4 linked regions of the Alligator mississippiensis genome follow. The protein of the gene in region 4 interacts with the protein of the main gene of each other region in a pairwise test. Links are inferred from orthologs where the notes say so. Each region holds a gene or a part of one and is shown on either strand. Other genes may lie near its edges. The genes, in order: EFHC1, PPP1R18, MAPKBP1 and TEX11.

Region 1 (7,460 bases), on a different chromosome or scaffold from region 4:
ATGGCTTGTGAACCCATGAAACTAGGGGCCTGGCCTTAACTAGTAGAGATCATAACAGCTCTGCTGTAGCCATTGGATTTATGCTGCTTAACACTAAGGATGCCAGCTGGCCCGGTGTGCATTGCATTCAGGATTTTTCCAAGGGGAATGGGAGATTTGGGTTAGAAGCAGCCTCTTCAGACCTGGTGAAGAGGGCATGGTAGGTAGCTTAAAGGTGCATTTCCATCAAAGGCTTTACATAACAGAACAGGGATATATGCTGAAGCCCCACACGTGCCTTGGTATTCAAAACTCTTACTGATGATGAGCATTGCCTCCTGCCAAGCTGAAAACTACTAAACATGAATATATTGGGGTTCGTCCGTTACCTGGGAAGCGACAAGGGGTGCGAGTATCACACACCAGCTGTCCTCCCCACCTATCCTGAATTTTGTATTGTTGAAAACACTGAGAACATCCAAGGCTTTGCACTGTACTGACAACCGTTTAAAATCCCCAGTAAAAGAAAGTTATAAAAGCCGTACGACGCGTGTGATGTGAAATTTGTCAATCCACGGAAAAGCAGGGGAATCCAGGTGGCTGCAGCTGCTGGGTTATTCAGTGGAAGTTTGGCCTCTAAGACCACACATGGAGGAGGAAAAGGAGGAGAATAATAATAATATCATAAAAATGATGCCGTACTTGTCCTTCATTTAGGGCTTGTAGCAAAATTCTGTTCAAGCCTTATAGCTGGTCACTAGCCCCATTTTACAGTTAAGGCACAAATGCTTACACTGGCGTAGGTAGGGAGACAACGGGTGTGTCTGAGTGCCTCCGTGCTGCACCATGACACCCCTGGGCCCACCGGCATGAAGCCCGCCGTGTCCACTTGCTCCTGGTCAGCCTGTGCGTGATCTCAGAAAGGTGAAGTTGCTGCCTTTGAGCAGCCTGGAGCATGTGCCTAGTATCATTAGCTGTGATGAGCTTTAGCTGTGTCCTAGGCCTGCCCGTGGACATTTGCTCAGCTCCGTTGGATGATGGAAAGGTTGCCTCATTTACAGGATCTGACATTTTGAGTAGGAGCGTGCAGGTGGGATGGTTTTCAAGGCCGTGCTTCTGGGTACAGCACAACCCTAAGTGGGAGTTTGTCAGCAGCAGGGCCACGAATAAAGCCCTCTGGCTCGTCTTTCAGGTTAAGAAGAGGAGCTCGTAGACGGTCTCTCACAAACTTAAGTGTTTTGCTGAAGCAAGGCCAGATCTGCAACAGCTACCTGATCATCTCCAACTACACACAGGATGCGTTTCCATCCTGGGGTTTCCTGGTGAGCTCTTAAACCCTGGGAGCATAGTTGGGACCATTTGGCTTGTCTCCAGGGGCCTGAGGGAGGACATATCTCCACCTCCTCCTCCTGCCAAACTGGAGATTAAATTTTTTTTTTCAAATAAAACAGCAAGGGTGTCCATCACTGCTGTATCTTCATGTTTCATCCACGAGATGGCAAGGTTCACTCACCCTGGGCAGCAGACAGCGTGCTGCCTAATGCCAGGACTCCCTTCCAAATGACCTGGGGAAAAATGGTGGTTTTCAAGCAAATACCAAACCAGCACCACAGGATTACACCTTAGTCAAGAGATGTGTTTCTAGGCAAGGGATGTGCTTCTTTCAAGTGTTACCGTTCATAGAAGAAGACCCGAAGGCAATTCGCAGTTAAAGGGACATGCCAGGTCCACTGTTATACTTCTATAAGCTAAAAAATGGAGAGTAGAGAAGAGTAAGGAAAGTTTGGGGTTTGTTTAATGGCAATAATAATGACGGGCGAGGTGTAGCATGGGATTTTTTTTTCTACCATTGTTTAGGATGATAGAAATCCCACCCCACTGAAGCCAGCTGCAACCAGCCCAGCCCCAAGACAGCAAGTGCAGGCAGGAAACCAGCATCCGGGGGGAACTTTTACAAAAGTGCTTTCTGTTCATTCCTGGGGGTGTTAACAGCAGGGGGGGAGGATTTTTGTTTTGGGCACCAGATGCTGCTGCAATGATCATCTTCAGGAAGAGACCACGTCATGGGTCTTTTACCTATGCCAAGTTGTCTGGTCTTCTTGAAGTGAACTGGCATCCAGCATTGGCACATGGTTTAAAGTGCCAGTGGTTTCATTTCACTCTTTCCTCCCAAGTGTCAGAAAAAGGGAAAAAAAAATGAATGTCCTGTGTCACAGCAGTTGTTTGCAGTTCCTACTGCTTTCAGTGAAAGTCCTAGTTGAATGCCTCTGAAAATCAGACCAGCAGCATGCTATCTCCTATGGTGTCAGAAGGGGCAGTCACGACCCGTGTCCAGTTGTTCAATGTCTCCCAGCCCCAGGCTTTGCTCTGATGGGAGGTAACAGTCAGTCCATGAGAAAATGCTCTCAATGTAAATCACCCATTATCAGGATCTTTCTAGATACCTATATCATGTCACAGACTTGCGCACAGCAAGGGGAAAGTCTCACCAGCAACCCCTTGCATTCGATCAATCGGCCACATGCAGAATCACAGTGAAATACAACGTAGTTAGATCACGCGAGGGGCTTAATCACCAATGAAGCATCACACGTCCCTTGTGCCGCTGGGATGTTCATGGAGTTGGACTTTTCTCACTGTCATTCTTTATGGCCATAGCTGCAAGTCCCTAGCAGGATTCAAGTCTCCCTGCATCGGGTGCTGTTTGTGCACAGAGGAAAACAGGCCTTTTTGGCTCCAAAAAGGCTACAAATCCAAATAGAAGGAGATGCAGGAAAGGTTGGCAAAGGTAGCACTGTTGTCACTCTTTTACAGATAACAAAACGGGCATATGGGGGTTAAATGAGTTGCCCAGGGTCGCACAGGCAGCCTCTGGCAGAGGAAGGAACCAACTCCAGATGAACTGAGTTCCCAGGCAGTGCTTTAACCACAAGAGCAGGATTCGTATGCTGCTGTTTTTATTGCCATTCCTCACGTCCTAGGAAAGCATCAATGGTTTAACCCCTGCCCCGACCAGTATACCCAAGAGGAATGTGTTGGGAGCAGGGGATGAGAAGGGATTCACCCAGGCACCGCTGTCGGGGCCCCGTCTCTGCTCTGCCACCAACTTTCCGTGTGATGTTGGGCAAGTCACTTCTTGTCTCGGGTCCCAGCACTGCCCGGCCTCAGAGCGGGGCTGAGAGAAGGGCATGAAAGATTGTGAATTGCTCCGGTCCTTACAGCGACGGACAGGGCTGTATCAATACCAGAACGGAGGCCTGGTAGCTGGAGCGGAGAGACAGCAAGCAAATGCCTGGCTCGTGGCTCCTTTCCAGGCCCTTTTCCTCCAGTACTGTTTGGCCTTGAGTCTATCCATCTCCTTTGGCCACGTTTCTTATCTCAGAACGGCGGGTTTTCTCCTCTCCCTCAACCTTGCCTGCATCTGGAGGAGGATCCAGCTGCATCGCCCGCCGCCCCCTCTCCCCTGCCAGCTTGGCTGTAGCCCGGTGATAAAGACGGACACAATGGCCACCTCCTCTTGCTGCCCCAGCTCCTCCCTGCCCCTCTGATCTGCCCTTCGAGGCTGGGCGAGCAGCTATCCCCCATGCCAGCCTGGACATGCCACGTCTGGTTTTGCTCGGTGGTATGCAAAGCCCAGAGGCGTGGGCACTGCCTGTGGCAAGGCATCGGCATGGCTGCACCTATCACCTTGCACCACCTCCTCCCGGACACCTCCGCTTCCCAGGGGCTATTGCACTGCCTCCTGCTCCAGCAGCAAAGTGCTTCCTGGCACTACTGGCAACCTGCTTTGCTGCAACTTCAAGCCATTGCTGCAGCCTGTGGCACCCCCACAAGTTGCATCCCTGCCAGGCCAGTGGGTGGTGCTTTTGCATGGGTCTACACAGGGGGCACAACCAGGTGCAGGGCGCTGGTGCGTTTGGAAGAGGCCCGGGCTGTACCCTGACACAGCACAACCCTGCTGGAGCTCAGGAGTCCCCACTACGCAAGCGCATGGGAAAGCCGCGCGCGGGAAGCGGGCTGCAGCCGCACTGCGCATGCTCCGCCTGGTTCCCCCTGCATTCGCCGGACTGGTGGGGGGGTGGAACGTGGAATGTTTGCGGGTGCCATGGAGACGGCGTTGCCCGGCGACGGCCCCGGAGCGCGCGCCGGCCATGAGCTCCCGCCCGGCGCAGGGGCTGCCGCTGCTGCCCGGCTTCAGCTTCCTCGACCCCACGGTGAGCGCGGCCCCACGGGGGACCATGCACCCAGGGGACCCCCTGCACCCACGTGGAACTTCCCCTGCACCCCATGGGCCTCCTGCACCCACGGGGGACTCTCCCAGTACCCCACGGGGGACCCCCCTACACTCCATGGACCCCCCCTGCACCCACGGGGACCCCCCTGTGTCCTACGGACCCTGCCCTGCACCCACAGCCCCCCCTTGAACCCCTCTGCACCCCACAGGTGACCCCCTGCACCCCATGGACCCCCCCAGTCCCCATGGGGGAACCCCCTGCACAGGCCACCCCTTGCACCCGATTCTCCCCCTGCATCCCATGGACCCCCTGCACCCACGGGGGACCCCCCTACACTCCATGGACCCCCCCTGCACCCACGGGGACCCCCCCTGTGTCCTATGGACCCCCTCTGCACCCATAGCCCCTCCCTTGAATCCCTCTGCACCGCACAAGTGACCCCCTCTGCACCCCACAGGCTGCCCTTTGCACCCGATTCTCCCCCTGCACCCCACAGCCCCCCTGCACCCACAGCCCCCCCCCGCATCCACACCCCCCCCTTGCAACCATTGCTCCTTGCACCCACAGGCCCCCCTGCATCCCATATTCCCCCCCCCCTGCATCCACAGCTCCCCCTTGCACCCACAGGCATCCCTGCACCCTACAGCCGCCTTGCACCTCATGGCCCCCCCTGCATCCACAGTCCCCCCCTTGCACCAACAGGCGCCCTGCATCCCATGGTCCCCCCTGTACCCACAGGGCCCATCCTCCCACTTGCAGCCCACAGCCCCCTTTACCCCACGGGCCCCTCCCTCTGCTGCACCCCATGGGAAACCGTCCCCCACACCAGTGACCCCAGCACCCCACTGGGATCCAGTGTCTCCTGGCAGCCCAGCCCCAGGGAGGGTGGGCGGGGGGAACCGGCACCTCCAGCCCAGGGACCCACAGGCCTGGGCGGGACCTCGGGTGCTCCTGAGACGGGAGCTCCTGGCCTCGCAGGGCTCCCGGGGGAGCGAAGCCCCTGAGCCGTGCTGGTGTCCGCCAGGTCCTTGGAGACACAGGACGGAGCCCTCCTGGCTTCAGGGTGACGGGACAGAGCCCCTAGATCTGTCCGACACGGCTGGGGCGGTGGCGCTCAACCTTATTGCCCTGTGGGCTGGATGGATGGTGCCCATGGTCCATCCCCGGGCCGGATCCAGCCAATGATCCCCATCCCGGTGTGCAGAAGGGGTTGGGGAACAGCCTGGCCCCGTCCAGATGTGCAGGGGAAGGGGGCTTAGCCTGGCCCTGTGAAGGGTAGGGAGGGCCCTGATCTGGTTGTGGGCTGATAGTCTGGGATAGGGGCCGTGTACTTGCCCCATACCCCCCTCCGACCCAGATATCCCTGAGATACCGAGCTCCCTGTCCCCTGATACCTCCCTGGGGCTGGGACTTTGGAGTAGGGTCCTTGTCTGCCTAATCATCCCACAGGAACCAACACCTGATACCTCAGTGAGAGCTGATGCCCTAGGCTAGGGGACCTCAGGAGCTCCCTAGCCCTCCGTGGGCTCTGCTGCCTTGAGAGGTGGGAACTCATCTTTTTTCCTAGGCAAAATCATGCTTTTCTTCTACCCCGGTGCTGTTGCAGTGGTGGGAGCAGGGCTCCTGGCAGACCTCAGCTAGTGCTTGGTTAAGAGAGGATTGCTCCGAAGTGCTGGGCTAAGGGGCAGTGATGGTCAGGAGACCTGCCTTCTCCTTCTGGCTCTGCACTTTCCCACTGGGTGGCCCGGAGTAAGTCACAACACCTCTCTCTGCCTCAGTTTCCCCAGTTACAATAATACCCTTTTGGAGTAGTAGTATTACTCAAAAGGCAAGGGGTCATTGATGTGCTCCTTTGAAAGACCAAAGGATCAGACCCACCTGGGACCCCCATTGAGCCTTACTGGAGGATCAGTGCCACACGGGTTAAAATCAAGTGTCTCCACTTTGCTTGGAATATCTTCTCCAAGCTCCTCATTTTGGCTTTGATGCTGATTTCTTAGCAGGAAACTGCCTGTCTTGTGGCCAGTGTCATACTTATGCAGGGCTCTGTTAGCATCTTGTCTTGCTTTCACCTGAACAGGCTTTGCTGCTGCTCTGTCACCGCTGGCAGAGTTGGTTTTTAAGTGAAAATGGGTAATGAATGAGATATGCGAGTGAGGTTATAAATCGAATTATGGGCCTGAACGGCAGGGAGGCTTGTTCGTGTGAATGAGACTGGACTGGTTGCTAATTTGGGGCTGGAAAGGCACGTTCTCTTAGTGCATTCGGGAATGTGTCCGCTGCCAGTCCAGGAAAGAGGACGGTGTGTGTCAAAGGCTCTATACTGAGATTCTCCTTTAGACCAAGTGTTAGGGGCCTTTTGAATTTTGAAAATACGTAGAGGCCACCGTGTGCTATGCAGTGACAGTCATAGGGCCCTAAGGGAAGTCTTAAGGTATCCCAAAGGGCCTGGCTTTTCTTTTCCTTTCTCGGAAGGAGGATCCAGTTGGATCAGCTGGCCACATCCCATCTTCTTCAGTGCCTGCAGTTGTGGGGGGTGGGATGTCACAGTGGGTGGACTCCATCTCCTCCCATTGTTTCTTCAGCCGGCCCAAACAGAGCAGGACCACCCAGACAGCACCCCCATTGCTCAGGACTGGGGTGAGAGTCTGGGTGACATCCACAGCCCTGCCACTGACTTGCTATGTGTCCTTGTCACCTCCCTGCACCATCGGTAAGCGTATTGAATAGGAACAGCGGCTCAGAACTATGTAGCTTGGCAGAGCTAATGTCCCCAAAAGGTGAGCTGTCCTAAGGAAGCTGCACCCCACATTGGATAAGAGCAGCAAAAAATAATGAGTCACTGCTGCAGCATTAGGGGCAGGCCAATGTGTGCCATGTGCACGGAGGCAGGGAGGTTTATGGTCACCACAAATAAAGCGCTACTGAGAGTCTTTGCTTTCCTCACCAAACTTTTTACTTGCACGGGCTTTAACCATGCTTGCATACACACTGCATGAATGGGTCTGTCTCCCTCGGGCGTACTCAGGAGACGGCCGGCGGAACAGCTAAGGTTCACTTCATGATCTCTAATGCCACCTTTGGGTATCTGCTGAAGCAAGGGTGTGCCTTGATTTTGCAGGGAGGAAAATATTGTGGTTTTTGTTCCCTAAGAGTTAAGTAACATAAAGGGGGATGAGAAACCTGGAGGGTGCACATTGGCCTTTGTATGATCATTCATTTTGGATACTCTTTCCTCCTAGGGTA
Region 2 (7,954 bases), on a different chromosome or scaffold from region 4:
GGGCGCCGGCACCGGGGCCTTGCGTGGGTTGATGGTGATGGTGTTGCCGCTCCGGCGTTGCACGGCTGGGTGTGGCACCAGCGACACCCCTCCCAGCTCCCGGGCTGGTCGGGCCCCCACACGCCTCATGGCCTCCCCGTCGCCTGGCTCCTCAGCGCTGGCTGGCGGGGGCGTCTGCTCACAACTCAGGGAGGAAGCAGAGCTGAGAACAGCCACGGGCTTTGGGGGAGGAGAAGGAGAAGTGCCGGTTTCCTGCCTGGGTTCGGCGGCGTCGGAGGAGGGGGGAGGGGAGCTGCTGGCCCGCCGCGGCACCACCATGAAGGAGTTGCGTGACTGCAGGCGCAAGCTGGCCAGGGCCTTGGCCTGTGTGTCGGCATCAGGCTCCAGCATGGCTGCTGGGCCTGGCTCCAACGCCTCACCTGTGCTCATCACATCCAGCAAGGTGGCCTTCAAGTCCCAGCCTCCCCTCTCTGGAGAGGCAGCCTCCTTGCCCTGTGGGCTTGGCATGACTGTGTTTGGGCCACTGCCATCGTGCCTCGCGCCCCACTCTGGGGAGAGGGCCTCCTTGTCCTTTAGGCCTGGCCCCGCAGCCACTGAGCCACCACCTCTGGGCTGGGCCCCGCTTTCTGGCAAGGCGGCCTCGGTGCTTTGGGGACCGGGCGCTGCTGCCAGCCGATCACCGCTGCTAGGCCTAGCTCTCCTCTCTGGAGAGGTGGCCTCCCTGCCTCGTGAGCCTGGTGGTACCGTGCCCGCCGCACGACTGTCACTGCCAAGCCGGGGCCCCCTCTCTGGCGAGGCTGCCTCTTGGTTCCAAGACTTGCCAAGCGAGAAGCGCCGTGGAGGGCTCTCCAGCCAGGCCTCGCCACTAGACCTGGCTTCAAACTGATTGCGGAAGGAGGCCACCGTGAAGAGGGGCGCTTGGGGTGGTGCGGAGGCGCCAAGCCCTGGCAGGTCGCAGGATGGGCTGGAAGACCTGCCATGCTGCCGGGCCAGGCCAGGATCCAGCTTCCTGGTCTCCAAGGGGTGCTCATAGGAGCCATCAGCAAGGTTCTCAGTGCTGAGGGACCTGACCGGGCGCTGGGGCGGCCCCACACCGCCACCGCCACCGTCCTGGCTGAAGTGGCTCAGCAGCTTGCTGACCCGCCCACGACGCTGCTCTGGCCGCGCCGACTGGTAGCCCACATCCCCGTGCCCCTGGCCACAGGAGTTGAGGTCCTCCGCACTGCGGCTCACGGTTGACTTGACGATGAAGACCTCACCCGCCCGGATCTCCGTCACGCTCCCGCCCGGCCGCACCAGCAGCTCATTCAGGGACTCCACGCTGCCAGATTTCACCTCCGCTGGCCACCGATGCCGCTCAGCCCCTGTGCCCAGTGGAGCCCCTTCGACGTCGGGCACCGACTCAATGATGATGACGTTGTCGGCCCTCAGGGTGCGGATGCCAGGGATCTGACTGTAGGCGTCCGCCAGCTGCTTGGCCTTGGCGCTGGCTGGGTCGCTGTCCGGTGCCGCTGTTTCCTTGCGGCGCTTCTCCAGCTGGATGAAGGGGTTCTGGTGCACGGGGCCAATCTTCTCCTGCAGAACGGCGCTCTCCTCACTGCTGGGCTCCTCCCCAGGGCTTGGGGCTCCCACCCCAGCCAAGGGGGGCCCAGCTCCTCCACTGCTGCCACCGCCGCCCTCGCTGCTGCCTCCAGGCTCAGAGAAGGAAGTGCTGGAGCCCTGCTTGGCACGGCGGCGCTCGATGATCTCCCGCTTCCATGCAGGCATCTTGGCCATGCGGTCCTGCTGCTCCCGCTCCCGGCGCCGCGCCTCCTCCTCTTCCTTCCGCTTCCGCTCCAAGAGCATCAGCTTCCAATCGGGCAAGGACGAGGGAGCCGACATCGTGGCCCTGGGGTGGGGGGGCAGGCAAGGAAGGGAAAGTTTAAAGGGCAGAAAGGAGGACAAAGGATTGTAAGAGAGAAGAATGGGAAGGAGGAGGGATAGAGAGAGCCAGGGAAGGAGGCCTGATTTAAGAAGAAAGAGTGTCAGGAGGAAAGAGGGATGGTGGAAGGAATGGAGGCTGGGAGAGAGCGGGAAGGGAAGGAAAGAGAGTCAATGATGGAGGAAGCGGTGGGGAAGGAGGGCTTGCGAAAGGAGGGACTGAGAGGCCAGGAAGAAAGGACAGAGGAGGGTGAGGAAGAGAGCGGGCATGGAAGCCGGGCGAGGGAGAGGGTGAAAGAGGGACAGGGTGATGGGGAGGTCGAGGGGGAGGCGGCGCCGGGATCACACGGGCTTCCGGCAGAGAGAGAAAGGAGATGAACCAAATTCTCCCCCCTCGCAGCCGGCTCCGCCTGACAGCCCCTCCCTGCCCGCTGCCGGCGGGGCCTCCTGACAGCCCGGCACGCGGCGGCCGAGCGTCCCCGGGGCCCGGCCGGGAGGCCACGCGCTCCGGAGCCCGACCCAGCCTGCAGCCCGGCGGGGGCAGGGGCAGGGGCAGGGGCCGGGGCAGGGGCCGGGCGCGGCGCGGGGGACCCCGTCGGGCTTTCCTGGGGTGGGTGGGGGCTCCTTTCAACCCACCGGAGGGGAAGGGGTGCGGGAGGGGGCAGCATAATTACCCCGGCGAGCGGCGGGACCCAGGCGTCCGGGCTGGGAGGCTTCAAGCGCTCCGTGGCTCGCAGGACCCGGGCGTCGGAGTGATGGGCAGGGAGGGAAGGAGGCTCCTTTTGTCCCGGGCGGGGCTCGGGGGTTCCGGACCGCGGGGCAGACGGAACCAGGCGCCCGCCCCGCGCCGGGCAGGCAGGCAGGGAAGGAGGGAGGCGGGGAGGGGGTTCCCGGTCGCGGGAGTTTCGCGGAACCGGCGTGGGGGTGGGGGCAGCCCCGGGGACCCAGGCGTCCGGGGGCGGGCGCCGCGCGGCTGGGCGGGCCCCGATCCGGGGGGCCCCGATCCGCCGGGGCGGGCGCTGCCGCCGCCGCCGCCGCCTCCGCCGGGTCTTTGTGTGTGAAGGCGCGGGGAGACAATGCGGGGCGGGGCGGGCGGGCGGGGGGCGCCGCGGGATTCCTGCACAGCGCCCACGGGCAGCGGCCGCGGCGGGCAGAGGCCGGCACGGATTGACTGCGCTCGACAGAGCCGGGCCCCAGCGCCCGCACCCGGGCAGGCAGGGATCTGCGGGGGGAGGCGGTGTCCTCCACACCCCCCGGCCTCCCCTCCACACCCCGCTCGTCCCCCTACGCGCGCGCGCACACACACACACACACACACACAGCCCCCCTACTTGTGCACCCCCAGCATCTCACACACCCCTCCAGCATCCCCTTACACACACACACCCTCGCGTCCTACACCCCCCACCCTCCTCCTATGCACATGCACACACACATACACACACCCCAGCATCCCCCTACACGCGCGCGCACACTTTCCTGTAGGGTTGGCAAGCTGGTCAACTGACCACATATTTTTTTGCCCAAAGATTATAGTGATTTTAGGAATATATATTTGTATGTTTCTTGATGGAAACAAGATTTTTTTTTACTGTTTTCTGACACACTTTATAATGGAAAATTTGTGGTTTTTCTGCATCGTATTTGGACCTGTTGACATTTCTGGGGGGTGTTTTTTGTTTTGTTTTCTTTTTTACAATAGTTGATGGATATTTGACAGGTCAATTAAACAAGCTGTATTTGACAGGTCAAATACCTAACTTTGCTTTGCTCCTTGTTCACGTGGTTCCCCAGCCAGACACGCGTGTCACACAGGCTCCTTACAGCCCCCACTCCCGCCCCTGGCTCTCCATCCAGGATGTGAGCTATGCACGGCCTGACCCACTGAGAGGGGAAGCCAAAGCCTAGGGCAGGCCTCAGCCCCCCTGTTCCCAGCAATGTCAGCTGAGGCCTGCTCTGCTTAGCTCTGACCACCAAGGGGTGGCCCCTGCCACATCTCCAGCCCTGCCTTTGTGGGAGCATTGCTATACACACAGACTCCAGCGGCCAAGCTGAGGGAACAGACACAGCATCACCTTCACACTGGCACCAGTGGGGAGACATGGGGTGTTGCTCTGGGAGAGTTCATGTAACAACACTCCCCCCCACCCCCCAAGAGAATAAGTGCTGATGGATATCCCAGGTGAAGGCTGGTACCAGCTTGTTCCACGGTACAATCATTTCTGAACTCTTCATGTGGGTAGCCTCAACACCTTGGGAAGTGCTTCACTCAGCTCTGTCCCACAGTACAGACACCTCCCATCCTAACACCCCCAGTTTCAGCTCTCTTCTTACCATCCCCTGGAGCATTAGCTCCAAAAGAGAAAGGAAAGAGGGTGATACTACACCCACAGTCAGTGCGGGTCCCTGGTACAATGTTCCTAGACTGCTATGCGGCGAACACTTGTCTTCCCTAGGGTAGCCCCTGCTGCTGTGTTGGCACAGTTCCTTAGTGAAAAAGTGTATGCCAACAGGACTTTTTCACGGCTGTAGAACAGGGTGGCACCAACCAGGCCTTGGTGCAGACACAGCTCCACCAGCAAAGACATGTTTTCTGCTGCGCACCGTGAGCTGGTGAGTCAGCATCTCCGGCAGAGCTGCTGGTGGCACAGCTCTGCCCATCAGGGGTCACATCCTGGACTGACTCAGCCTTGCCAAAGAAAGGTTGCAATGGGGACAGAGTGGCAGGTGGGGAAGTAGAGGACGGGGCAGGGGGGAAGTCACACAAAAACACTGATGGGGGAAGGAGGGAGACTGATCTGGGAGTAGGGAAAAGGGGTCCCAGGGATACAGGTGGGTATGGAGAGGGAACATTAGGGTAGCATGGGCAAGCTGCCCCATGACCCCGTGTGTGTAATGCCTTTGGCTGACCAGAACAGGGTGCAGTACCCAGTGCCTGGCATCTCTGTGGCAGCAATGCCCTCTAGTGGGAAGAACAGCAACAGCTCATGTGCTTGTAAAGATGTGCTGACAGGCAGGAGCTAAATTTCCCTCCTTCCTTAGTGCCAAGATGATGCTTTGGGAATAGGAGGACCCGAACTTTCTGCCCCAAGCTCCCTACCACGTCTAACAGCCCAGATGAAAAGCATGCAATCAAGAGATGGATACCCCAGACACTTTCATTCCAGGTATATTGCAGAGAGTGAGACAGAGCACTGCGATACGGCTTGCTGGCTGCATACCCAAGTGTTGCCCTAAGCCAGGCACCACCACCCTCCCTGAGCTGCGGAGAGAACCCAGGAGTCCTGCCCCATGCTGTGCTACCCGTCTCACAGAAACATGTTTGTAAATGCAATAATTCTCTTTAGTTATTTATTTGTTTGTTTGTTTTAAACTAGCCTTTTCCCAGATCACTCAAAAACCCAAGATACAAAAATACTTTATCAGCTTCAGGTTCAAAACAAAACAAAACAAAAGAACCAAAAAAACCCCCACATGCACAAAAAGGCAGCGTTAAAAATAGAGGTTCTTCATTAAGGCATCGATTAAGGTTGGGGTTGCTTTCCTGAGTCAGAAATAGGACCCAGGTATCCTGAATCCCAGCTCAGCCTCTGCTCTACCCACAGGACCCCCTTCCTGAGTGCTGGTGATGGAACTCAGGGGTCCTGATGCTCAGCCCCTCTGCTCTAACCCATCGGACACCATTCCTCTCCAAGACGGGGCCCAGGGATTCTGGTGGACCCAAAATGTCCCAATCCCCATAATGAATTAAGCATTAAGCTAGAACACTTGCATTAAGCTAGGAGACCTGAACATCAGCAGGCTTTGGATTTTGTGGCACAGTTCCTAGCTAACTTTTAATAGGAGCCTGGCACTCACTGCAGGGAAGAGGCCCTATGTCCTGATCCCCATGTCTTGACTCCCCTGCTCTCCCCACACCTTCAATGCATCCACTGGCCACTGAAGTGTGGGAGGTCAGAGCCAAGGCCCCAGAAAGGGATGGACTTCCCTTCCTATTAATCATCCCTCCTTTCCAGCTCATCTTCATATCACTCGAGCCATTTTTTTGCCTTGTACCTAAATACAGAAGAAACAGTACCCTACTTTCATTTTTAGAAACCATTTTTCAAGACTTTTGCAGCAGAGATTGGCGACACGTCCATCACTATGGGGAAGGCAGTAGGGAAGAGCCCAGGAGTCCTGATTTCAAATGCCTCTGAAACTATTAAACCCAGGGCTCAAAATAGAAGGCAGGAATCCTGACTCTGGACCTCCCCACTGTAACCCAGACTTTACTCCCCTCTCAGAGCCAGGAATTGAACTTAAGGACCCTATGAAAGAAGAGTGTTACAATGGGGGAGGGAGGAGAGAGACCAACCTCTACCGAGCTCTGTAAGGCCAACGGTATCTAGAAAGTGGAGCTGGGCAAGTGGGCTGGGAGCCTGGACTCATGGGTTCTACTGCAGCTCTGGGAAGGAAGAGTGTTCCAGTGGGTCACAGCATGGGGAAGGGAGCCTAGACTCCAAGGTTGCTTTTGCAGGCAGCTGTGACTTCTAGGGACTCAGGAGAGATCCTAACACTACAGTACTAAGTGCAGAGCTAAGGGCATCAGTGCTTGGCAAGGTGGGGGGTGGGGAAGGGCACCACTGCGCCAGACCTCCCCCTAGGTAAAAGCCATCCAGCAGGGTCCTGCTCCCACTCAGCTCTCCTTGCTCAAGACAGGGCCGTTGCGGGCCAGCAGGTCCCCATAGGCAGCTTCCTCACGGGAGAAGACCTGGAACTTCTTATCAAGCTGGGCACGGAGGTAGAGGTAGTCCTGTTGGTCCAGGCTGTGCCCGCAGGTCATGTAGGCGGTGAAGAGGGTGGCCAGCAGGAGGCGGTCCAGGGAGAGGCAGGGCACGGCCCACAGGATGAGGAGAAACTCCAGGTACACGGGGTGGCGCAGGTGGGAGTAGAGCCGCACGGCACGCACCGACTTCAAAGCCAGGGGGTCACCCATGCCCAGGCAGTGGTAATAGACCTGCGGCAGGGCACGGCACGGCATGAGGGCAAAGCAGGTTGGAGCCGAGAGAGGAAAGCCCCCAAGACTGCCCCCCGCGAGCCCAGGCAGTGGTAACAGACCTGGGGCAGGGGACCTGCAGCAGGTTGGAGCCAAGAGGGGAAAGACCCCAAGACTCCTTCCTCCCCCTTTCCACCCCCCCAAGCTAATCCCAGTCCCTGAGCCCCTGGATCCTCCTCCCTCCACCCAGTACCTGCTTGACCCCCATGAGCTCGGCGTAGTCGAAGATGAGGATGATGCTGAAGATGATGAGCCAGGCCACGAAGTGCAGGATGAAGCAGGCCAGCAGCACCCAGGTGGCCCAGGGCTCCGAGCGGGAGGCGTCCCACAGCAGCGGCCCGTCCCGCACCGGCTGCCAGCACCGCATCAGCACCTGCGGGCGCCCGCTCTGCTCAGCCCGGCCCGGCCCGGCCCGGCCCGGCCCCGCCGCGCCCCGCCCCGCCCCGCCCGGTACCTGGAGCGCCAGCGCGGTGCAGCACACGTAGCAGGAGCGGTGCAGCACGCCGAGGCAGCGCGCGGCCCAGCGCTTGGCCGGCGCCGAGGCCATGAGCCAGTGCTGCAGCACGAAGAGCGCCACGAGCCCCAGATCGGCCGCCAGCGCCCGCAGCACGCGCGGGTCCCGCAGCGCCGCCGCCCACTCGCGCCCGGCCGTCGGCTCTGCACGGGGCGGCAGCGGGGTGAGCGCGGCCGCCCCGGGGCTCGCTCGCCCCCCCGCCCCGCCCCCAGCCCCGCTCCCCGCCCTACCCGGCCGCGCCCCGCCGGGCAGCACGGCGCGCAGCGACACGAAGCGAACCAGCTCCACGCCGGTGCCGAAGGCGAAGAGGAAGCTGCCCAGGGCCGGGACCACGAGCAGCAGCGCGGGCGCCATGGCGCGGGCACCGGGGCGGGGACTCCCGACTCGCGCCTCCAGCCAGCGCCGCCCTGCTGGGGAGGGGCTTTCCCCGGGGCTCCCCTGTGACGCGACTTCTCCTAGGGCCCGCCCCCAGGTGGGAGGAG
Region 3 (7,343 bases), on a different chromosome or scaffold from region 4:
CTTGAATTAGATGACCTCCTGAGGTCCCTTCCAACCCTAATTTTCTATGATTCTATGATCTTTCATCTATAGCCTGAGACAGGATCATCCCTATACAGTGGTGCTCAACCTTTTTCCATGGCTGGATGGGCAGCGCTCTGTCTGTCCGCAGGCCAGATCCCACCAGTGGCCCTGATCTGGCTTTGGCCCTAGTACAATGGGCACCATCTGGCCACGTGGAAGGGGGCAGGGGGGGGTAGCCCCACCACATCCCAGCCCCAGAGGGGAAGGGGATGTGGCCCAATCCAGATGCGGGAAAGGGAACATGGCCTGGCTGCAACCAGGCACACAGGACTTGGGGTTTAGGAATTTGGCAGGGTGATAGTGACCATATTAATGGCCACTGCTCCCCTGCCACCATATTTCCCACCTCATGGAGAAGCCTTGTGGACCACATGTGATGACTCCATACTTGGCCCGCAGGCCAGGGATTGAGTACCCCTATCCCTATGCAAACCATCCTATACAAATCCATCATCTAACCTAGGGATTCTCAACCAGGGGTGCCACAGCACCCTGGAGTACCTTGAGATCCTTTCAAGGGTGCCACTGGGGTGCCACCCAATGTTAGCACTGTGAGGTGTGCAGACCTGATTCACAAGATAAGCCCAGCAATTCGAAATAGAAATCCATAGTTGCAGGCTTTCTCAGTTCTTGGCAACAGAAAAATGGCTTTGTTATTTATCTGCACTCAATAACAGAATTAAAACTAAGAGCTGGCATTTTCCAAGGGATGCACCAAGCCTATCCAAAGATGCCTCACATCTGAAAAGGTTGAGACACCACCATCAACTTTGGGGTACTGCAGGATCATCTCTGCAATTCCCCCTCAGGGCAGTGCCGCTGAGATAAGCCCTTGGTAGGCCTTGGCAGGGAGATGGGACTTGCACTTTTCTCTGGAAGGAGGATGGGGCTTGAATTGTGTTCTGAAGAGGCAATAAGATTTTGTGTGGAGGCAACTGCAGAAGTGAGAGCCTAAGAGGCAAATATCTCCATGCACCAAGACAGCCAAAATGCTCAGTAGTAGAGCCTCATTAGTAGCTGGTGCCTGTTTAAGTATGCAGTTCCTGTCCTACACTCTCCTAAACACAGGGACCATTGCATCCAAGTGGGTGGGGTGGCTAGAAAGTTTACCCCTTCCCCTCTGCTCTGGCCAGCAAATCTGAGTGACTATAAAAGTGTGTGTATGCAGGGCATAGTAGTGAATACAGTCCCCTGTGGGCTCAGAAGGAATTGTGCAACTACACACTGTTTTCCATTCAGGGCTGTGGCTTAAAGCCACAAGAGTCCCAAGGGAGGGTATAGGAGCCCAAATTATACATGGCAAAAACTAAACAAAAAGAGGTAAGATGCAATTGCCACTTACCATGCCTCTCCCCTGCTAAATGCTACACCCTATGTTCTGATTCCCAGTCGCGACCCTCTACCTTCTTCTTCCCCACTTTCCATCTCTTCTGATGGCCTTCTTTCTACCTTCCTTGGTAACTATCCCATCTTAAATGGCTCATTCCAAACCCCAGGTGTTAGAACTGATCACTCAAAAAAAACAAACCAAAAACAAAAACACCTTGTGAAAAGCCTGGTGAACAAAATGAGATTCGTCATACCCCTTAGGTTATGCACTGGCATAATCACAGGATCAGGATACTAACATAGCCTGGTCAAAATCCTGCATATCTGCATATGCTATAAGGAAAGACCCAGAGGTATAACCCAATATATCTTCAGCAGTTCACCAAACTATGCTCCTGTGCTATCTAACCTGGCTATAATGACCAGCAGTAAAAGGGTTCATAATGTCAAAGTTTCTAAGCGCCCTTAGGTTCCTACCTTAATATCTTTGTGAGAAATAATAGAGGCATTTCATCTTTCTCAGAGCTACCCAGTTTCTATGCAGACTAAGACAACACTACTGTATCATTCAGACACATGCAGTACAATTGGAAGAGCTAGATTCTTTGGCCCAAATCCAACTCCACCTTTAGTAAGTAGTGTTTATGTGGCTAAGATAGCAGTGTAAGTGCCATTTGAGGCCAGTAAGGCAGATTTTAGAGCCTGCTCCCTCTGGGAAGCATGGAATCCATGTAAAGTCATAAAAAGTGGAGGAGAACCTTGCCCTCAATAGTGCTTTTGCATTTTGCATTTAATAGTCATTGGATAAAATGGATACATACCAATAAGATAGCTTCTGTACTATCTCACTGAGTTGCACTTCCATGGCTTTGCTCTCCTTAGGACCCCATAGTTCTCCCCTCTTGGCTCCCCAGTAGACCATCTTCAACAGGAGACGTGGAGGATACTTCACAGTAATACTTAGCCCATGGCCTCATGGTTAAGGCATTTTGCTGGAAAGTGGAAACCATAGGTTCAAACCTCCTCTGGATGTGGGGTGGGGCCTACAACCTGGATTTTCTGCTCCCTAGATAAGTGTCCTAACCACTCAAGCATTGTGCTAAAAAGGTGCTCTCCCCTGCCTCTTCAATTTCATGATTGTTTCTGGGGTCTGACAATAAAAGAGAGGAGACAGTAAATGTATGTGTAAGCTTGGGACTTAAATGTCTGATGTCTCCTAACATGAGGGACAGCTGAGATGTTTACCTAGGATAACTTGTTCAACTGCAATTATTTTTTCTTGTTTATGTGAACTCTGAGCACAAGGATACTGAAATATGTGATTGGAAATGTTTGCCTGTTACACAAATTATTTAAATTAAAAGATGGGTGACAGTTTAAATATAAGTGGCAAATTAAGACCTATCAAAAGGGACTAGGGTGAGAGAAATGCTGAAGTTTCTGATAGTTACTTTGCCAACATTTTTCAGGAAATCCAAAACTTTCCCACATGTTTATGTTGTAGAATCTGCTTTATTATTGGAGATTGTCTAGAATAGGCTGGATAAGCACTTGTTTGGGATGGCTTAGGAATAAGGGCTCCTACAAACCCACTTGGACCAGATGACCCTTGAGGTCCCTTCAAACAGTCCAATTCTATGATTCTAAGACAAATAGCCAACATGAAATTTCACAGGTTTTCTCCAGTGCAAGCTAGTACAGTAATGTGCCTGAAATTTTACATTTATTTTCTGATTTTTAAATAATTTTTTTTTCTGGTTTCAGTAAAGTAGCAGATCAAATACCTTTAGTATAACAGCCTTCTCCTGGATCTCACTGCAGCAGAGAACAAGGTAACAATTAACAGCCTCTTGCTGGTCTTTTTGACATGTAGACATACTGACATATAGACATGCCAAGTATTGGTAGCAGTTCAACCATGTTAACATGGTTTCATAGATTTCATAGATATTAGGGCTGGAAGGGACCTCGGAAGATCATCGAGTCCAGCCCCCCGCCCAAAGGGCAGGAAGTCAGCTGGGGTCATAGGATCCCAGCAAGATAAGCATCCAGTTTCATCTTGAAGGTGTTCAATGAAGGCGCTTGAACCACCTCCGGTGGCAGGCTGTTCCAGACCTCGGGGGCTCGGACAGTAAAGAATTTCTTCCTTATGTCCAGCCTGAAACGATCTTGTAGTAGTTTGTGTGCTCTGCCTGCATTAATTAGTATGAAAGGCAATGGTTTTTTTGTGATGTCTTTTATTGGATCAACTATACAGTTGGGAAAGCTGTGTTGGGAAGCCATGCGAAGGGCTGGATCTGCTGGCTCTAACATTAAAACTAGAAGAAATTAAAGTAAAAAAAACAATGCAGAACTTTTGCATCCATCTTAAAAACTAGGATTTTGGTATGAACTAAAGCCTGGGGCATTAGAACTGGCTGCACTACTCAGACTCACCGTCCAATAAACAATTAAATTAAGAGAAACAGGCCTGTATTTTTGGAACACCCAGAATCAAATAGCAAACCCACTAAGCTCACATTGGCTTTGACATGGTACCTAGAATAAACGGCCTAATAATGGCAATCAAGCAGGTAACCTGCTGAAGCTTCCTTCTGCCTTATATAAAAGCCTTTTATTTATATAAAAGACTAAATTATATACATGGATAGCGAATGGAACCACATATGCCTATTGTTATCCTCAGCTTTCTTTCTTATAACCTGCATCCCCTCCCTGTGTTTTACATCTACAGCCAAAAATCTTGGCTTAATTTAGACTGTATATTTTTTCAGGACCAGTCTCTTAAATATGTTGCCACTGCCCAGCACAATGCATCCCTAACCCTGACTAAAACCTACAGGTGCTAGTGTAATGAGAGGCACAGGGATTTTCACTCTCACAACTGGGGTCATGGATTTTGCCTCTTCAAAGAGGATATTGCACAATGATTGGCTATGTAATTCCTCTGCAGTTATTTTCTCGAGTTGTGTTGCTGCAATGGTGAGCCTCATATTAGACATCGTAAATACAGAGAAAGAACAAATGCCTGCAAACAAAGCAAGTTATACAGCTGAAAACTTCCCCACAACCTCGGGGAGGGGCGGGGGGGGGGGGGGGGGGTTGTTTAAGAAACATCATCTTGCAAAGAATTCAATAAAACTACTCAAGGATTCAAGGCAAAAGGGACATTTTGTGAATTATTTGAGTCAGAACATGTTTTCCTTGTTGAAATATCCTGATATATGGATCCCACAAAAGGAGAGCACAGACCAGTAAAGTTAGAGCTCTGTGAATTTCACGTCAATGCTATCCTAGCTTTGATCTTGAATTTCCAGCCCATAATGTACATAAAGCTCTTCTTTGCATCAATGGATCAGGCTGGAAATGTAGGATTATGCTCCCTCCACCTGGCTCTTCTCCTGTCACTCTTAGAAAATGTCAGAAGTGCACGCCTTGGCCTTATTAAGAATTGCTGAGCACTGGCAAATTCTGTTTGCTCTTACTAGAGTTGCAGAAGCTTGGTTCCTCTGCAGCTCAGGACACTGATGTGGCTGGGCTATGCACCGTCTTTGTCCTTTGCTTAGATTTTTTTATTTGGATTATATAAGAACAACTCTTCAAAATTCAAGCCATGTATAAAAAGTGTATTCCTGCCCTTGGTACATTTTCCTTATATGTGCGTAAGAGGCATGAAGTGCAGGGTGAATAAACTTCAAGCTTTTTTCAGAAATGTGACATTTCTGAAGATTAGGATGGGGCTGGAGAATGGGTGAGATTTACATTCTTTGGGAGGAAAAATAAGGCCAAGTTTTAAGATACTGAAGTCCAACTCCATATGTAGGCACCTTAAGAAGTGGCCTCATTTGCAAAAGTGTTGGGCACCCAATCTGCTTCTCTCTTCCAGCAAGAGATGTTGAAGGCTCAGTATTTTTGAAAACCGTCTAGACCATCTATTTAAGTACCTAAAAGCTGATTTAAGAGGCTAAGTATAAGCAGGCAGTGATTTTTAGAAATACTGAACAAGTTTAAGCTGGCCTAATAAAAGGCCCAGTCTGTTTTCCCTGTACTTGCTGTGCGTCTCTGTTTAGAAAAAGTAAATTCACTAGGACTCAGTGACCAGGCCAGAAGGGACATGCAGCAGACAGGCAGGTGATTGTTCTGCTTTGTAACTTTCCCTGCTTCATGCCCTGTGATGCCTGAGGATTTTATGTTCCAATGGAGCTGCTTTAAAAGGTACTCAGAACTGAATCATCAGGTCACCAGGGAGGAAGACCTCACTTGCTCTCACCACTAATGCAATGTCCTAGGTTACTTTGCTGGGAGAAACACAGGCTTTGTAGCACAGAACTTTGGAGCACAGATCAAGTTCTGTTGTCATAGCTACAATCAGCCAGGGGCTTGAAATCAGCATACCCTCTAGTTCACCTTTTCCCAAGCTATGGGGCATACCCGTGTGCCAGGGCCCAAAAGGTTCCTAGGCAATCAGTGGTGCCCCACCCCAAATTCAGTTGCCACCCGCCACTTTCCTCTCTGCTGATTCTCTTGCCCCCACCCTGTACTTCAGCTGCTGCTCCCACTTCCCTTCTGAGAAATGCTGGTGACTGAAGTATAGGGGTGCAAGAGAAGGACATGAATAAACTTCATGTGCCTATGATGGGGTGCATACCCACAAGGGTAGGGAGATGCTGCTGTAGCTAATGTAGCTATACTGGCAAGATCCCCTCCCCGCCAACACCATCTGGATATAGCTATGCCAGAAGAGGGCTTAGCTCTTTTTCATCCAGGAAGGTAGTATAACTATCCTGTGAGAAAAGCCTCTTCTGCCATATGCTACATCTTCACTAACATAGCTATGCCAGCAATAGCCCCATAATGCAGACAAGCTCCAGTCCCACATTCAAGGCCATGTCATGCAACCCACAGGGCTTATTACAGGTCCAGAAATTTGGCAGCAGGGAAGCAGTAATTAATACCCCCTGCTCCTCTGTTGCCAATTTTCTAGACCTGTGGGCTAGATGACATAGCTCTGCAGGCTGCATCTGGCCCATAGGCCAGAGGTTGGGCACCACTGCTCTGTAACAGCCAAGAGCAAGGATCAGACCACTGGCAGCTTCTCTGCCATCCACCCTGAGGTGCACGTGCCAAGCAAAATGTTGGAGGTTGCCTACCCCACGTGTACAAGCTGAGGGCTGTAAGTAACAACCTCAAATGGCATCTTTCAAGTGACACGTCTCTCAAGAAACAGACTAACTCCTATCCTCACCAAGGTCTTGCAGCAGACCCAAATGCCTGCTGTGCCACATCAATATAGACCACATCATCACTGGACCAAATAACAAGGAGTATAAAATATCTGAGGTTCATTCACCTACAAGTCTACCAATGTCATCTACACCACCACCTGCTTACAATGCCTCTTTGCTGTCTACATTGGACAGATCTTACATGATTTCTTCATGTAAGAATGAATGAACACTGATCTGACATCAGCTGCAGAAAGAAACAATGGCCTGTGGCAGTACACTTTAATCTCCCTGGACACTCCATTGCTGACCTCAAGATGGCTGTTCTCAGGCAGCAATATTTTAAAAAGCAGTTTGAACAGGAAAATTGTAGAACAAGAAGTTATCCATAGCCTGGGTTGCATTAAGTATGGTTTAAACAGGGAGCATGGATTCTTACTCATTACCTGGGTTAGCTTTGTTCCTATAATTTTTTTTCTTGTTTGCTGCCCCCCTTCTCTCACCCTCCTCCCTTCCCACCTTTTGTATTCAAATCACTCTCTCCATTTTATTGGTCTGTACATGACCTTTCACAGCATCTAATTAAGTGGGCTCCAGGTCATGAAAGCTTGTGCTATATACATTTCTAAATTAGTTAGTCTATAAGGTGCAAAGTACACTGCCTTCTGCCTGACTTCAGACTAATATGGCTAACAACCTGTCTGTGTAAATATTGAAACATTAGTC
Region 4 (7,347 bases):
GGAAACAACCAAGATGCCTTCACCTCCCTTACATCCATCATTGCGTAATAGGGCTGGAGGGGGTTGAGAGGATCGCCCTCTAGATCCAACCCCTGGCATGAACACTACTCCTAAATCATGTATATCTGATGCTTATCCAATTTCTTGAGAACTTCCAATGAAGTAGTTCACAAAATCTTTGTCTGCTAACATTTCCAAGCAAGATTTTGACAGGGATATTTAAAAATGGGAGAAGTTTGCAACTTTATTTGTAAATCATCCTTAACTAGGATTTTGGAGGAGGGGAAAAACCAAGAACTAAATTTATAAGCTTTTACACAATTATCTCTTCTATTTTGATTAGGTATGAACTATAAGCAATCAAAAAGCCAAGACTCCAAAAGTATTAACTCATTTACAATGCATCTACAGTTTATCATTTAGGTGGACATTTAAAATTATGACTAGTAATCACTAATCAATGTGAAGCACGGGAAAGATTTTTACTAAGAAAACTTCAGTGTTTTTATATTGCGATTTTGGAGTGTTTGTATTTACAATTTTAACATCTTCATTATTCTTTTCTACATTTATTTTACTATTGTGCTTTTTTTAGTCTTTTTGCATTGTTAGATTCAAAAGTAAAAAGTCACAGCATCTCATTCATGTCAGTAGTGTTGACATTTAAATAAGGATATTTTGCCTCAGAATTCAAAAACATTAATACATATCATTTTGAAGGACAGGTGGAATCCCCCACTTGCCAGTTGCTAATGTTTACTATTCTAATATTTACATTTTTTTTTTTTTAGAAACACCTCTACTTTCTTCAAATGTGCTAATGGAGAAGTAGAAATGTTATAGTGTATGCTCTATAGTTATACAAAACATAAGTAAAACATGCAAAAATGTAAGTGCTTTTATAGATTCTCAGTACTATGACAACTCATTATCTGCACCAGCCAATGAGCATTCAAACTGCAGTAGATACTGCTTGCCTCCACCTTGGCTGTAAGAACAGACTGTTTTTAAATATCCAGCTTTGGGATCCAACAGTCCCTGGCCTTCTACCTCAGCCTCCTGAATCTCGTCCTCTGCCTTCTTATCCACATTTTCTATTTCAGAGAATAGTTTGTCAATGATCTCAGGAACGTTGGATGGGGCGTCTCTCTTCAGCAGCTCTTGAACAAGCTCTGAAAAATAAGGTGCATGAGGCAGAAACGGAGTGAGCACCATACAAATGTTATGAGTAGCACATCATCTCTGAACAAGTCTGTACAAGCAAAACCCATTGGTTTACATTTTCTTCATATTTTCCTGGCTAATAAAAAAGCACAAACAAGGAGACCAAGAGAAGCTGAACAAAGTAACTCCTGAGAAACAACTCTATTCTAAAGAAAATTTATTTTAGTTAAGGCATAAGGCTATATTCTGCTAAACTGCGGCAGTGAAATCTACATTTGTCAAAGGAACTAAACATAAGTAAAGAGTGCAGAATGTGGCACATCTTATCTGTGAATAAAATGTCTGCTTCCCCCAAGTCTTTTGTTCCCTCCTAAACAACTTTTATTCTTGGGCCCTCTGAAAGTATAATGTACACAACCTGTATTCAGGATCTTTGATACTGGTAAGCCAACGCCAGCGCTTCCTTTGAGGATCATAGAACAACCTGCCACCACCGATTCTAGAATCCTAAAACCCCCATGCATCTTTATAAAAAGAGAGAAAACTGCTAAATCTTTAAATCCCTGCCCTTGGCTTAAAAGGAAAAAGTCGGACTTGATCAGGTGCTCTCTTAACCACTCTCAGAATGTGGAAGGAATGAGGTTGCTTTAGTGGGTAAATCCCTTACAACGGCAGCTGGAAACTACTCCTCAGAGCAGTTTAGGGGACCAAATAAAACCATATAAAACCTTTTTGCCCTCCCTTGTCTCCAATTCCATAGTTTTTCACGTGCTAGCTTAAATATCTACCCCCAGTTGGGCAGCCAGTAGCAGCACTACACGGTACAGACATGAGAGCCCAGTACCTTGCTAACAAAAACCCTGACTCTGGTCCAGGAGCAAAACGAATCCCTCCCGCACCTCTGCCCCAGTCACTATAATGTTTGTTTTACTCAAGTCGACGGAAAGCTCCCTGTAATCTCTGGCAAGAGAGAATAGTTTTAACTTCCAAAGACATCAAAAACAATAACGTGAAAAGGCAAAACAAGTTTTGTCCAAGTCTCTTAACTGATGAACTCAGGAACACACAAGGCTCTGCAGCCACTGCGAGTTTCACAAGTTACCTTATTACATATTGTCCTAACAAAAATGAATCTGTCGACCACATTTCCTTTCCTGTAATCCTAGCACGCCAGAACTAATCACGCATTACTTTTAATTGTAAGTTACGTAACAGAGCGTGCCCTTTTCCTTGATCGGGAACAAGTTATCAAGTACCTATTTTAGACTCCAAAACTAAAACAAATACAGGTTGCTATTTCCTCTGCAGCCGTGCGCTCAGCTCAACCGGGTACAGGGCGAGACACGGCCTTCACGTCGAACGTTACGCACTGGTCGCTAAGCTTTTGGTTTAGGGCCAGAAGTATTTCACCCGGGGCGGGGCCCCGGCAGCCGGAGGCGTCCCGCTTCACGGCACATCTCCCCTGACGACTCAGCCTGTTCCTGGCGGCCCGGCTCCAAGGCAAAGCAGCTCGGCACCACTGAACAGCCAGACTGCCCGGCAGTCGCCGCTGCACCCCCGGACGTGCTGCGTGTCTGCCCAGGAGGCTGCCGGCTCTGTCAGAGCCTGCTCTCGGGACGCCACCGCGCCCGGCGCAGCACGCAGCCCCGACGCCAGGGAGGCAGACGCACGCCACTGTGACACTGGAAAACCCTGCCGGCCTCCCGTCTACACCAGACACAGCTTTTCGTATCGGCTGTAACGAGCGCCCCATTGCTCGTCTCCCGGGCGACTCTCCCGGGCGCTCGTCTCGAACTCGAGGCTGTCCTGCAGCACGGCGCTGCGGTGGCACCGGAGCGCCGTGGGAGCAGAGACGGCGCGGGAGGGTTTCTCGGGGGAGCTCTTGCTCTTCTCGGAGGCGGGAAGCCGGGCGGCGCTGCACTGCATTGCACTGGGAGACGGAGGCTGGCGAAGGGGGGTGAGGTGGAGAAGCGGGGTGCGCAGGGCCTGCAGTGAACCAGGCCGCCCCCAGCAAGCAGGGCCCCTCACCCCGCCACACCAGGCTGCAAACCCTCGGCGGGCAGGGGAGGGAGGCGCTACCTTGCAGGGCGGGGAGGCTGGGGGCGCCCGCCATGCCGCAGCGCCAGGCTGCTCGGGCCTGCCCCAAGCACGAGGCAGCGCCTGCGCCTCACACCCCGCTCCTCGCACCTCAGCGCCTGGGCGCGCGAGGTATGCCGGGACACGCGCCTGGCTTTCGCGCCTGGCGCGAAACTACAGCTCCCAGCGCCCCCCGCGGCCGCGCACGCGCACTTCCGGCGCGGCGGAGGCCAGCCCCACGCGGCGATTGGCTGGCGGGCAGGGCCCTCCTCCAATGGGGGCGCCGCCCCGCCTCTCCTTGCGGAGTGGCGGGCGCTGGGCCCAATGGGGTGGGCGCGCGGGCGAGCGGGGGAGGGGCGGTTCCGGCGGCGCTGCGCCGGGGCTAGAAGGGCGGGAGGAGCCGGCGCGTGCTGCGGCGCCATGTCGGGGCTGCTGGGCACCTCGCTGGGCGGCCTCAGCAGCGACTCCTACTGCGACATCAGCCAGTACCGCGACCAGCACTTCCGGGTGCGCCGGGGGACGTGGGGCAGGGCTGGGGAGGGGGTTGGGGTGCGGCGGGCTGTGGGGGAGGGGATGGGGGTAGCCGGCCCCCCCGCGCTGACGCCCGCTGTGCCCCCAGGGGAGCCGGTACCTGCAGGAGAAGTCGCTGAAGGCGTCGTCGACGCTGTACGTGGGGAACCTGTCCTTCTACACCACGGAGGAGCAGATCCAGGAGCTCTTCTCCAAGTGCGGCGACGTCAAGCGCATCGTCATGGGTCTGGACAAGATCAAGAAGACGCCGTGCGGCTTCTGCTTCGTGGAGTATCCTGCAGCCGCTGCCTGCGCGGCGCGGTGCCCTCTTCCAGGGGCTTCTTTGCTGCCCCTCGCCGGGTCTCAGCCCTTTCCGCGTGTGGGACGGGGCCAGGCCGGGTGGGACCGCTGCTCGTGCTGGCGCGCGTGGTGTCTGGCCGGCGGAGGGACCGTGCGGTCGGTGCGTTGCTCCGGGCGGGGGTGTCCCCCGCGCTGTGCCGGCCCGGTGGGCGGCTGTCGTGGCGGTGCCCATGCACGGCGCGCATCGCAGTGCGTGCGATCACCGACCGACCCGCGCAGTAGCATCTTCAGCGGCCGCGCACGGGCAGCTAAACGAGGCGTCTCCTACAAACGAGGCTCGAAGCGGGGCTGATGCAGCTTGAAGTCCTGCGTACAAATTCAGCACGCGCTGTCCCGGAAAGGGGCACGTGTAGCGCCCTGGGGGCAGCGCCCGGCCTCTCCCTGAAGCGAGGGACCCCTCGCTGTTGCTTTCGCTGTGCCAGAGCTGAGACGCACGAGCGCGGCCTCGCGCTGCGCTGGGAGGGGACTGGAGCCAGTTAGCGTTTGGGTCTTGAGTTGAAAGTCAGGGTTCCTCCATGCCATATAAAATTACTCTCTCTTTCTACCTCCCTACCCAGCAGAACAGCACCTTGTATTTTCCTTATAAGTTATTCCAGATATTACACAAGAGTGGAAGCTGAACATGCAATGAGATTTATTAATGGCACCCGTCTGGATGACCGCATTATCCGGACAGACTGGGACGCAGGGTTTAAGGAGGGCCGGCAGTACGGGAGAGGAAAGACGGGAGGACAGGTAAGCAACAGACCAACGTCAGTCTAGAACATGGCTCCCCGGGGCTCAGCTGGGTGCTGCTCACCGTGACTGAGCCAACACAAAGCAAGAGTAATGCAGCGTAGACCCAATAACTGAACTAAAGCCGGTCAAACTGGTTTAGTACCTGATGCTGGACTGGAGTAAGTGATTGACAGTTGCTGCTGCTGAAGAGCTGGGTTCCCGGCTCCTGAGGGCGCAAAGTGAATGTTGCTCTGCTGTCAATGAGATGCTGTCAGATTGATGGAGGAAACAAGCAGGGAGGAAGAAACGGTGCTCGGGAAAGACAAGTGCTAGTCTGGGATGGTTGACACAGATGACTCTACCTCAAGCAAGGGGCTTGCCCTAGATGTGACCCCCTGAAGGTCTTGCCAGCCCCGTGTTTTTGTTGTGTGGTTGCAAGGGCAGTCTTGTCAGACGGGATGCGCCAGTGGGAAGATGAGATTCATTCCCAGATTTCAGAGGGTTCAACCTTGACAATCCGTCAAGCCAGACTGCAAAGCCAAACTGAACAGTGTTTGGACTGTTTTGTATTGCTTTGACATTCAAAACAGCCCCACACTTGTCCTGTCCCTGTTGTGATGGGGTGTTATCAAGCGAGTTGAAAAACATGAACTTGCACCCTGGCTTTCAGCCCACCAACTGCTGGGGTGAGGTGGAGAGGAAGCTGGCTCCTAAAAGCGTTGTGACATGTAAGTAGGTGGAGGGTGTTAATGCCTCCTCTTGCTCTGCCCCCAGGTGCGAGATGAGTACCGGACGGATTATGACGTGGGGAGAGGTGGCTTTGGCAAGATCATCCAGATGCAAAAGGCGAATCAGCAGACTATGATCTACTAAGTGCCTCATTTGTCCTAGCACAGAGAAGGGCACTGGTCCTCCATAGATAGCCCTGTCCTTGCCCTTTGGACTGGGATGGGGAGCAAGGTCCAGGTTCCAGGACGAAGTGATCCTCCTTAGACTGGCTGTCTACATTTGCTCATTCCCCTTCCCTTTGGGATAGAGAGGCTGTTCCCTGCTAATGCAGGGCAGCAAGGGAACAGCGTGGCCAGCTCTGCAGGATTCTCTTTAAGGACAAGTGCAGCATGGCACCCAGACCCTGGCAGCAACTCACTCCTCTTGCTCTCTCTGGCACAGCTGGCTGCCTCCAAGCTGTTCTTCCAGCCACTGTTGTTTCCCTCAAGTTCAAGCTTTGAGAACTCATCAGCCATCAAAGCTGTCTCACCTGCCCAGGCACAGGCAGGAGTTTCAAGTCTACCGTTTACATTGTCTCCTGCTGTTTTAAAGCACTGTTGCTGGCTTGGGTTGGAGAAGCATAATCAGACTGTACTGGCCAGTGCAAGTGGTGCCTGCACTTCTATCCCTGGGCTCAGTCAGACCTGCAGAGTCCCTGTCCTCGCCGTGCCCTTGGCACTGCCTAGGTGGGGCACAGTCTCCCAGTTACTGTGTGGTTTTTGTTAAGTGTCTTTTGGGTTTTTTAAATAAACGTATAATCCTGTCTCTGCAGTCTGTGCTCTGGTGCTGTTTACCTGTGACGGGCCTGGGGGGCACATCCTGCATGCTAAGGGATGGATGCCTGCATTTGTCTGAGCTTCCCCTTGGTGTGGGTGTCACTTTTCTTCTCGTGTTTATTCCTGGTTGAAACAAGATGGAAATCAGCAAACTAGTGCTCCCGTGCTCCCATCCAGGTGAGTGTGGATAACTTACTACTGTGACTTAATTCACCATGGTTCCTTTACTTCCCACTGCTTGCCCATTCCCAGTTATCAACTGATAACGGGTCACTGCTGGGTAATTCACCATTATCTGCCTTCCCCTTGGCCTGGGGAACTAGCCAGAGGTCACTATTCTTAATGGCCCTGCCCTGCCTCCAAGCAGTGTCGGGTCCTCTGTGGTGCATACAGCTACATGAGGGCCCAGCCTGTGCTTTAAGGTCAGCCCAAGAACTTAGAAAAGTAAGCCCGGCACTCATCCCCAAGCCCCTTTGCAAGGCTGCCCAAATTCAACTTAGCTAATGGTAGGAGACTCCTGTAAGAACTGCTTCCCCCTCAAAGACAGCACAGCTGAGCGGACCTGTACCTGGGGTCTGGGGTGCTATATGCCCCTCCTGTGTTGCACCAAGCCAGAGCAGAACCCCGCAGCTGCGTACATCACGCCCTTGCTCAGAGCTGGCTTGGGATCATGCAAACACCAGCAACTTCTGCTCTGTGCAGTGCAGCCACAGCTCTGCAGAGCCCTCAAGTGCCAGAGGATCCTCTGTGGCTTGTTTGCTGTAGGCCGTGCTGAGCCTTTGGGAAAGGGTGGGATGTAACTGAACTCGTTTAAAGAAATCCCCCACTTACCTGGGAGCAGCTCTCTGTCTCAAGGGGGTCTCTGGGCTCCAATGGGAACCAAGCCTGCTTCTGGCTGCAGCTGGTACAGACCAGGCATTTGGACAAGGCTATGCTTATAGCTCAAGTCGCCACAAAGCCCTGACTCGAAGGGGTT

Evidence for each region.
Region 1: the proteins of TEX11 (region 4) and EFHC1 interact in binary tests that used the Homo sapiens proteins (3 or more experiments, as listed by UniProt). The two-hybrid records come from large-scale screens. The link is inferred for Alligator mississippiensis from reciprocal best matches to the Homo sapiens genes TEX11 and EFHC1.
Region 2: the proteins of TEX11 (region 4) and PPP1R18 interact in binary tests that used the Homo sapiens proteins (3 or more experiments, as listed by UniProt). The two-hybrid records come from large-scale screens. The link is inferred for Alligator mississippiensis from reciprocal best matches to the Homo sapiens genes TEX11 and PPP1R18.
Region 3: the proteins of TEX11 (region 4) and MAPKBP1 interact in binary tests that used the Homo sapiens proteins (3 or more experiments, as listed by UniProt). The two-hybrid records come from large-scale screens. The link is inferred for Alligator mississippiensis from reciprocal best matches to the Homo sapiens genes TEX11 and MAPKBP1.

Annotation. Positions count from the first base shown.
Region 1 is NC_081824.1:8,953,019-8,960,478, reverse strand, and holds the start of EFHC1 (EF-hand domain-containing protein 1), read left to right. Parts: upstream 1-4,085; 5' UTR 4,086-4,130; coding exon 4,131-4,193; intron 4,194-7,460. UniProt on the Homo sapiens protein: Microtubule inner protein (MIP) part of the dynein-decorated doublet microtubules (DMTs) in cilia axoneme, which is required for motile cilia beating.
Region 2 is NC_081834.1:53,469,673-53,477,626, reverse strand, and holds the start of PPP1R18 (phostensin), read right to left. Parts: upstream 3,102-7,954; 5' UTR 2,595-3,101; intron 1,889-2,594; 5' UTR 1,882-1,888; coding exon 1-1,881. Other genes in the region: NRM (nurim), read right to left, coding at 6,599-6,919, 7,152-7,331, 7,413-7,615, 7,703-7,826.
Region 3 is NC_081825.1:238,960,324-238,967,666, forward strand, and holds the start of MAPKBP1 (mitogen-activated protein kinase-binding protein 1), read right to left. Parts: upstream 3,075-7,343; 5' UTR 2,214-3,074; intron 1-2,213. UniProt on the Homo sapiens protein: Negative regulator of NOD2 function. It down-regulates NOD2-induced processes such as activation of NF-kappa-B signaling, IL8 secretion and antibacterial response. Involved in JNK signaling pathway.
Region 4 is NC_081831.1:83,090,122-83,097,468, forward strand, and holds the start of TEX11 (testis-expressed protein 11), read right to left. Parts: upstream 3,388-7,347; 5' UTR 3,278-3,387; coding exon 3,244-3,277; intron 1,173-3,243; coding exon 1,051-1,172; intron 1-1,050. Other genes in the region: nuclear cap-binding protein subunit 2, read left to right, coding at 3,661-3,747, 3,860-4,041, 4,707-4,845, 5,602-5,700. UniProt on the Homo sapiens protein: Regulator of crossing-over during meiosis. Involved in initiation and/or maintenance of chromosome synapsis and formation of crossovers.